Linked DNA regions of Caenorhabditis elegans. The protein of the gene in region 1 interacts with the protein of each later gene in a pairwise test. Each region holds a gene or a part of one and is shown on either strand. Other genes may lie near its edges.

Region 1 (5,180 bases):
AAAAACCACTTTGCATGCAAATTCCGCTCCACTTTCTATCCCTTAATTGTCCATCCATCCAATTTTACCCCCAAAACGGTATGGTATGCGAGAAACTGTTAAAACGACCGTAAAATGCCTTCGACACCGCCGGCGGGGGAATTCAAAAAGAAGCAATATACATATGAAAGGGTGAAGGAGGGGAGGAAGAAAAAGTCAGCAAAACGAGACACAATACCCCCTTCAATTTTATTCTTTTGAAGTCTCATACTTTTTTGACTTAGTTTTACACAATTTTTGTTTAAACTTTTGAAAGTATCTCTGTTGGCTTTGGTGGCTCATATCTCGGTTATCTTTAGTGGTATCAAAAATTTGTTAACTAACAAAATGTTTGTTAAGTATTTTTCTATGATTTTCTAGTTTACGGTTTATTGATATCTTTCAAATAAAGCGAGATATGACCTGCCAAAACCAAAGTGAGAAACATGATGCATCGACTGACTCAACGTCGGCAGCTCATATCTCGGCTGTCTTTAGTTGTATCAAAAAGTTGTCAACTAACAAATTACTTGTTACATTTTTTTATTATAATTCTGTAGTTAAACTTTTTTTTTGATATTTTGATATCTTTAAAATAAGCCGAGATATTAAAGGTGGTGTAGTCGAATTTGAGACTATGCTTAAAAATCTTCTTTATGCTCGTACAAGTCGATATGAATAAGCGAAACATCACAAAAATTTCGCTAACGGAAGTTATGAGCCTTCAAAGTGCCGAAAAAAATCTCTTCGTCCATCTAATTTGAATTTCGCGCGCAAATGAGCGCCCCTCGTGTGTACTCCTCTCGGACAATCACATAATTAATTTATTGCTTTTCGGCAATTTTAGGTGATTTTTCGTACTTTAATGAGCCTATTCTCGTTTTTTATTGGAAATTTATGTTTCGAGAGACAATAAATCGTATTTTGTCAAATATTTAACGTAATACAGTACAAAAAATGGAGTAATAACTGGATAATTCAATAAAATGCTAGTTTTGTCTATTTTTTGGTGTAATTGAGCAATCAATCGGTTCAAATTATATTCATAGACTTTCACTCTTTGTTATTTCCATTAAAACACAGAAAAAACTATGAAAAATCTTTCAAAAATACGAAAAATCGCCTAAAATTGCCATATTTGATTGTCCGAGAGGAGTACACACGAGGGGGCGCTCATTTGCGCGCGAAATTCAAATTGGATGGACGAAGAGATTTTTTTCGGCACTTTGAAGGCTCATAACTCGCTTTAGCGAAATTTTTGTGATGCTTCGCTTTTACATATAGACTTGTAAGAGCATAGAGAATGTTTTAAAGCACAGTCTCAAATTCGACTACACCACGTGGTCGCTGGCTGTCTCAAAATTGCTATTTTCTCGCGGACGAGAAAACGTGAAAAAAATGAGCGAAATGGCCTTGAAAACGGTGGAAGAGGAGGATTCCTCGTCCCCCCGGTCGCGTAGTCCTCTCGGAGAAGAAAATAGCGTGTAAAAGATGAGACGCAGACAACGAGACGGTCTCATTTCTTTTCTTCGCTCGTCCGAGTGAATTTCACCGACAATATTCTGAATGGGGCGCGTTTTCATCGAAATTATGCAAAGAGACAGCCAGCGAGCACGTGCTACACCACCTTTAATTGTCAACGTGAATGGGTGTAAAACATGGTGCATCGACCAAAAAATCATCATTAGGTTTACTCTCGGTTATTTTATGAGTTATTATAAAGCTGTCAACTGACAAAACATCGGTTACATCCTTTTCTATGACTTTGTAGTTAAGTTAATTTTTTGATATGTACAAAATTGAACAAGATACAAGCTATTAAAGTTATGTGACGCATGCTCAAAACTTACCGTTAAGCTTTAATGGCTCATATCTCGAATTTCTTTGGTTTTATCAAAAAATTGTCAACTGACAAAATATTGGTCAGCTTTTTTTCTATAACAATGTAGTTTTTCATTACTTTATATTATTAAAACTAACCGAGATACAAGCTTCCAAAGTTAAACAATTCTAAATCCTTTCTTTCAATAAGCTTTGTTTTATCTCAATAATCTAACAAAACTATCAATTTTTCCAAATTTTCAAATTTTCAGCCCCGATCAATACAAAAATGGTTCTTCTCCACCACCAACCCCTAGGATCCCACCACGCCACCACCAGTGGGGGTTCTCTACTGGAACGAGCCGACCTTTCGCACCCAATTCCAGAAAATGCGCGGAAACTTGCACAGCTGGTGGAGTATGATGAGAGCCGGGTGGAGTTAGGGGTGAGATTTTAGCTTTTGCTTTAAGTTAATTTTGTAAAATTAGAGTTCGAGTTTCAGACACATTCAGTATTCGTCCGAGAAGCCCGTCCACCTGGAGCACACTATTCCAAGGCTACAGTCATCTTTTTACATGGACAGAGCTTCTCATCATCTACGTGGACAGAGAATAATTTGTTGAGGTGAGGTTTTTCTTGATTTCTAGCTTAAAATTCAAGTTTTCAACTATTTGAGAACATTCGCGGCTCTCGGCTACCGTGCCATAGCCATCGACCTTCCCGGCTCGGGCCAAACTCGCGGAGCAGCTATCCCACAAGCTGAGAAACCGAATTTTTTGATGGATTTCATCGAAACGCTGGGTCTGAAGCAGGTGATGATTGTGTGTGCTTCGATGGCGGCACAATATGTTTTGCCACTGATGACTTCTACGAGACATGTGAGTTTTTATCAAAAATTGAGATTTTTGGTTTCGAGCATTTGTCTATGTCAAGTTCCATCAGTTATATCTTTAAAAAAGATATCTAAAAAATTTCAGAAAATGTTTTTCTGCAAATTCAAATTGCCTACCATAGTTTTTCATAAAGTTTTAACATCCAGCTAAAATTATTCTATGAAAATGTTGCTTCCCGCGCGTCAGAGTGCTCCATTTCGGTTTGATCTAAGTAGATCTACAAAAAATGCGGGAGAAGAGGCGCAGAGTTCTCTGCTGATTCGCATGGTTAAGAACGTGCTGACCTCACATTTTCTTGGGCAAAAAAATCCCGCATTTTTTGTAGATCAACCCGTAATAGAAAAGCCTGGCACCACAACCAAAATTATATTCTTCATAAAATTTGAAATTGCCGCCAAGAAATATTTTCTCATAAAACTTTGATTTTTAGTAAAAATTGTTCTGGAGAACATTTGAATTTCCAGCAAAATTCTATTTTTCCAGAAAATTTGAATTTTCCGCCAACCTAACAGTAATTTTGACAACTATAACTTCTCGATGAGCAATTGTCTATGTCGACTTCCGATTTATGATTTTCCTTAAAAAATTAATGTTTTTGAGCAGGGGTGTGCGGCAAATTTGCCGAATTTGCCGAATTAGCCGAGCACGGCAAATTTCAAAAAAGTAGATTTGCCGAATTTGCCGAGCTCGGCAAATTTCGAAATTTGCCGCACACGTCAAAAATTTAACAGTACAATTTTGGCTAAAATTATTGATTTTTTCGCCAAAAATTTAGTAAAATGACACAAAATTGAGTTATTTTTATGCTTATGCAGACATACTACACGGAACTTATTCAGAAACCAGATGTGTGTTAAGAATTCGGTAGTTTTGGTGTTCCAAAAAACATCAAGAATTATCAAAATTTTCCGAATTTGCCGAGCTCGACAAATTTGCCGAATTTGCCGTGCTCGGCAAATAATGAAAAAAGAGATTTCCCGAATTTGCCGAGCTCGGCAAATTTTGAGATTTGCCGCACACCCCTGTTTTTGAGTAATAATTTTATCATACTCCTATTAACTATTTACAACATCAAACATAGAACATTGAACACAATTTGACACCAAATATTGCTCGTTCAATTTAATTTCACTATTGTAGCTCTCATGTGTGGTCCTAGTCGCCCCATCAAACACCCACGAAGTCGTCAGCCCTTCTTCCTATACTGTGCCAACTTTAGTGGTTTGGGGTGAGTTTTTCTTTCTTTTTACTGTCAAACAAAAAAATCATTGTTAACCTTCAAATCTTTCCAGGCGAACGCGACACGTCTCTGGGCCCCACTGCAGCTGCAAATCTCAAGAACCTTCCACAAGTGAAGCTTCAGAAGATTCCAGACGCCGGACACGCGTGCTATCTACACAATCCAAAGTGCTTTGAGAACCTTTGCGTGAACTTTTTCGACTTAATACGCAGCTATCATCATTAAGGAGTTCTGGAAATGTTGGTTGTCTCTGTGCCATTTTTCGTCGTTTCCGGTGAAATTTTTTCAATTCTATTCTGATTGAGAAAATATCGATCTTTGATCCTCTTTCAAACTCTCTTTCATTTTTTTGTTCACTTTTTGCCTGAAATAAAATGATTTTTTATATTGTCCTGAAAATATAAAATTTCGGGAGTTTTTAGCTGATAAAATGCTAAATTGACGCAAAAAATTGGCGTAAATGAATATACAAAGGATGTTTAGCTTAATTTTCTGAAATTATGAAAAATTCTAATGACATTTCCGATTATCCTGTCATTGTTCGTAGTCGATGCACCATGTTTTGTGTGTTGTTTTTAACGTTACTTTGTCACAAAAATCCACCAGGCAAGTGTCGGCTGCTTAATCAATCGATGTTCTATATCTCTTCAAAATTTGAATTCCTCCGGCGTGAAATCATTTGCGCGCGAACCTGAAATGCAGTCCCTTTAGTCCTTATTGCTAAGTTTGAGCTGGTTTTTCTCTCACTTAACAAAATTTTCCAATCTTTTCTTTGTTATTTTTGTTAGTTTTTAGGGACCTAATCTGTAAGTTTCAGTAATTTACCCACATCCACTACTCCAATTCTACCATCATCGATTATTGCAATATTAATCAGACTCCAACCAATAATGTAGTGTAACCGGTGGTCTTTTTCCATATATTGAGTTTTGAAACAAGACGTGCGGTTACACTCACCATTGGGAGGCATGGTTTTTCCGGAATATGAATAAGGACTCTTACTAATAATGTAGTGTAACCGCTGATCTCTTCTCGATAATCAATACTCGGAAGGAGAAGAGTGGTTACACTCACCATTCCTGAGAGTCATGGTTGTTGGATGGAAATACGAATAGCACAGAGACCTTAGCCAATAGTGTAGTGGAGCCTTGCATCTTATTCCACACGTGGTGTCAGGCTGTCTCATTTCGGTTTGATCTACAAAAAAA
Region 2 (3,699 bases), on another chromosome or scaffold:
CTGCAGTGGATTGTGTAGGTGATGAATCCCCATTTATTGGATCAATGCGGGCTCATCTTCGACAAGCAGTTCCTCTCATTCGGGATATGCTCTCCGATCGCCGAAAATATTTTGCTCATTTTTGCCTAAAACTCGCAACTCAACTTGCTCACAAATTTGTTGGATCATTATTCCGTTGCCGAACAATTAGTACTCATGGAGCTGAGCAACTGTTACTTGATACTCATTCGCTAAAAACATTTTTGCTCAGTGTACCATCAATTGATAGTATTATCAACTCAAAACCACCAACGGCATACGTTACCAGTGTGAATGCAGCTCTGACAAAAGCTGAAATGATTTTGAAAGTGAGACATTTTAGATTTTTTAAAGAGATCGAAAAATCAAAAAATCAAAAAACAAAATTCGGTTTTTAAACATGGGTTTTAATTTAAAAAAAAATTGTGAATTTTCCGGAAATTCGAAAGTCAAAATAAGTTTAGAAAGACCAAAATTTTAATTTGTTGTTTTCCATTTTTCCAAAAACGCGAAATTCAAAATAAATAATTTTTCAGGTAGTAATGTGCAGTTTGGAGACTGTCGATGAATTTGTTGAACAATATATTAAACTTCTACCAGCGTCGGATGCAGCAGAAATGCAAAAAGTTCTTGAAATGAAAGGAGTTAAACGACAAGAGCATTCGGCAGTTCTCAACGCTTATCGATTGAAAATCGGTGCATCTGGCTCGGATCCAATTCAACAATCGAATAGTCTAACTTCTCGGATTGGTGGAGCACTACCAACTGTTGGAAGTGCAGCATCTGTATCTGAAGCATTCAATGCAGTTGTATCAATGGCAGCAGATGGATTGTCTGATCAAGCAGTGACGTCATCAATTGATAAGCTTAAAAGATTCGAAAGACTAGTCAAACGACAATTGTGATTGTTGATCTACTACCAAAGAACGAAATTTATAATTTATTTACATAATTTTATTTGAAAGTTTCTCAGAATACTCATCGGAGTTTTGTATTTATTTATTTATTCATGTGAAATGTTTTAATAGTTGTGAATAAGATTTCTAATTCTTACTTTTTATACTTTTTGTTTTAATTTAATTTTTATGGGTTGTTCTCCGAAATTATTTGATTTTTTATTATGCAGTAACTCAAAGATACCGTATCCTCTCTCGCCACAAACGAAATATTTTGAAGCCGTGAAAAAAGGAATGCTCCTTTAAGTAGTACAGTAACCCACTCTCTGTTATCTCGCGCAGTTGTCTCTGCTTTCCCCTTTTTGTTGTAAAATTTTACCAATAAATAATTAGCATACCAAATTGGTCTGCTAATTATTCAGCATACCAAATTGGTCTAAATCTTCGGAATTTTATTTTTCATGTGTTTAGAAAATAAAAAACAATTATTTGGATCTAAAAAATTGCTATGTAAATTGCAATTATAGTACTCTTCAAATGCGCACATCTTTTTGTATTTCACACAAATTTGTCGTGTCGAGACCGGATATGGTTTCTTTTGGCAAAAATCTAAATTTTGCGTCTGTGTTATTTAATAACAATTATAATTGTTCCAAATTAGAGTCTTCTTGACGAAAAAACGTAAAAATTGGCACGTTTAGACACGTTGTATAACAACAAGAAAAACCTTTAAAAAGCAGTGTTTTCTTGTTTTTATTGTTGATTAGTTCATAGATCACAGTTCACACTGTGTGCTCTATCGTTCGTATATCTCTCACTGTCTGCGTCTATTTTCATATCTGTTTCGTTCACTTTTGCATCTTTTACAATTGTCTTCTTTTTCTTGAATACTTCCAATTTTCTTCTCATTTCTTAGTTATCAACATTTTCCAACTCAAGTTCTGAAATTTCAGAAATCAAGATGATGCGCTTCTCGTCGATGCTGGTTCGCAATGCCAAATTGTGTGCAAATGTCAACCAAATGCAAGTCGCCGCATTTTCAAGCAAAGCTCCTGAAATGATCAAGATCGAGAAAGTTGGAGAGAAGCAAAATGTTGCTCTTATCAAGCTGAATAGACCAAAAGCTTTGAATGCTTTGTGCGCTCAGCTTATGACTGAATTGGCTGATGCTCTCGAAGTTTTGGATACTGATAAGTCTGTCGGAGCAATTGTGATTACTGGAAGTGAGAGAGCTTTTGCCGCTGGAGCTGATATCAAGGAGATGGTTAGTCAGCGTATAATCCAATTTTTTAAAAATTATCGGATTTCAGACCAATAACGAGTTCGCCACCACATTTTCTGGAAGCTTCCTCTCCAACTGGACCGCTGTCAGTGATGTGAAAAAGCCAGTTATTGCTGCAGTGAACGGATTTGCATTGGGAGGTGGAAACGAGTTGGCAATGATGTGTGATATTATCTATGCCGGAGAGAAGGCTCGTTTTGGACAACCTGAAATTAACATTGGAACTATTCCAGGAGCAGGTAATTGACAATATTTTAAAATCAAATTTTTAAACGTCGATGATTCAGGAGGTACTCAGCGTTGGGCTCGCGCCGCCGGAAAATCATTTGCCATGGAGGTGTGCCTTACTGGAAACCACGTGACTGCTCAAGAAGCTAAGGAGCACGGTATTGTGAGCAAGATTTTCCCAGCTGATCAGGTTGTCGGGGAAGCTGTGAAACTTGGAGAGAAAATCGCTGATCAATCTCCACTGATTGTTCAAATGGCAAAGGAGGCCGTTAACAAAGCTTATGAGCTTACTCTTCAAGAGGGACTTCACTTCGAAAGACGACTTTTCCATGCCACTTTTGCCACCAAGGATAGAAAGGTAAATTATCAAAATGAATTTTTAAATTGCAATCTAGTTTTGTAGATAAATTATTTAAACTTATTTATTATTACGGTAGAAAAACTGCCAAATAAATACAGTGATCAAAATATTGTTCCAGTTTTTATTCCACCTTCTCTTAAAATGAAATAATCAGTTTCCTACCTAGTTTAGTATTTTTCTCGAAAACCTGATAAATTCCCCTTAAAAGATGTTTTTCAGGAAGGAATGACCGCTTTTGCCGAGAAGAGAAAGCCACAGTGGGAGTCGAAATAGATGCGCATCTACAGATAAGAGAAGAAGATGATTCAAAGTGCCTAGTTGAATTTCTTGTTTTATTATTTTTATTGTGTTTTGTATTTTTTCTGTATTTTACGGTTAGTTTCTTCTGCCATTGAAAATAAATATATATGTAAAGCTGCATCTTCACGATTTTCTGATTCCTTTTTTTTTGTAGTCAGTTTCGATTTTCCATATTTGTGATTTGTGATTGTTTATGTTTTTTTTTTGAAAAAAAAATCAATTAAACACTACAGAAACACTACACACTTGTATGCTGAATAATAGCATACCCACCTTGGGTCTGCTAAATATTAAATTTGTGATTTCTGATTGTTTATGTTGTTCGAAGAAAAAATCAATTAAACACTACAGAAACAGTGGACAGCGATGTGGCTTGACTGGTTCTTTCCCGTGAGTTTTGTAATATTTAATGGCCGGCAGGGAGCAACATCAAGCGGCAAAGTTTGAAAAATCTTCCCTATCACGATTTATTAAGTTCAGTTTCAGTTTCTACTGTACAAAAATGTTTTTATCTACTATACTAGTATATCATTACCTAACCACCAATTTTCGGCCGCCCTTTCTTAGTTTCTCTCAATCTCTTCTAATATTTTCTATATCTGATTACCTCTCTC

The links.
Region 2: the proteins of abhd-14 (region 1) and ech-6 interact in a two-hybrid assay, tested with the Caenorhabditis elegans proteins (one large-scale study listed by BioGRID).

Annotation. Positions count from the first base shown.
Region 1 is NC_003282.8:1,026,965-1,032,144, reverse strand, and holds abhd-14 (AB hydrolase-1 domain-containing protein), read left to right. Parts: upstream 1-2,105; 5' UTR 2,106-2,128; coding exon 2,129-2,284; intron 2,285-2,341; coding exon 2,342-2,463; intron 2,464-2,515; coding exon 2,516-2,717; intron 2,718-3,872; coding exon 3,873-3,960; intron 3,961-4,024; coding exon 4,025-4,197; 3' UTR 4,198-4,358; downstream 4,359-5,180.
Region 2 is NC_003281.10:9,751,052-9,754,750, reverse strand, and holds ech-6 (putative enoyl-CoA hydratase, mitochondrial), read left to right. Parts: upstream 1-1,867; 5' UTR 1,868-1,875; coding exon 1,876-2,178; intron 2,179-2,224; coding exon 2,225-2,435; intron 2,436-2,483; coding exon 2,484-2,782; intron 2,783-3,004; coding exon 3,005-3,058; 3' UTR 3,059-3,199; downstream 3,200-3,699. Other genes in the region: vps-53 (Vacuolar protein sorting-associated protein 53 homolog), read left to right, coding at 1-347, 555-923.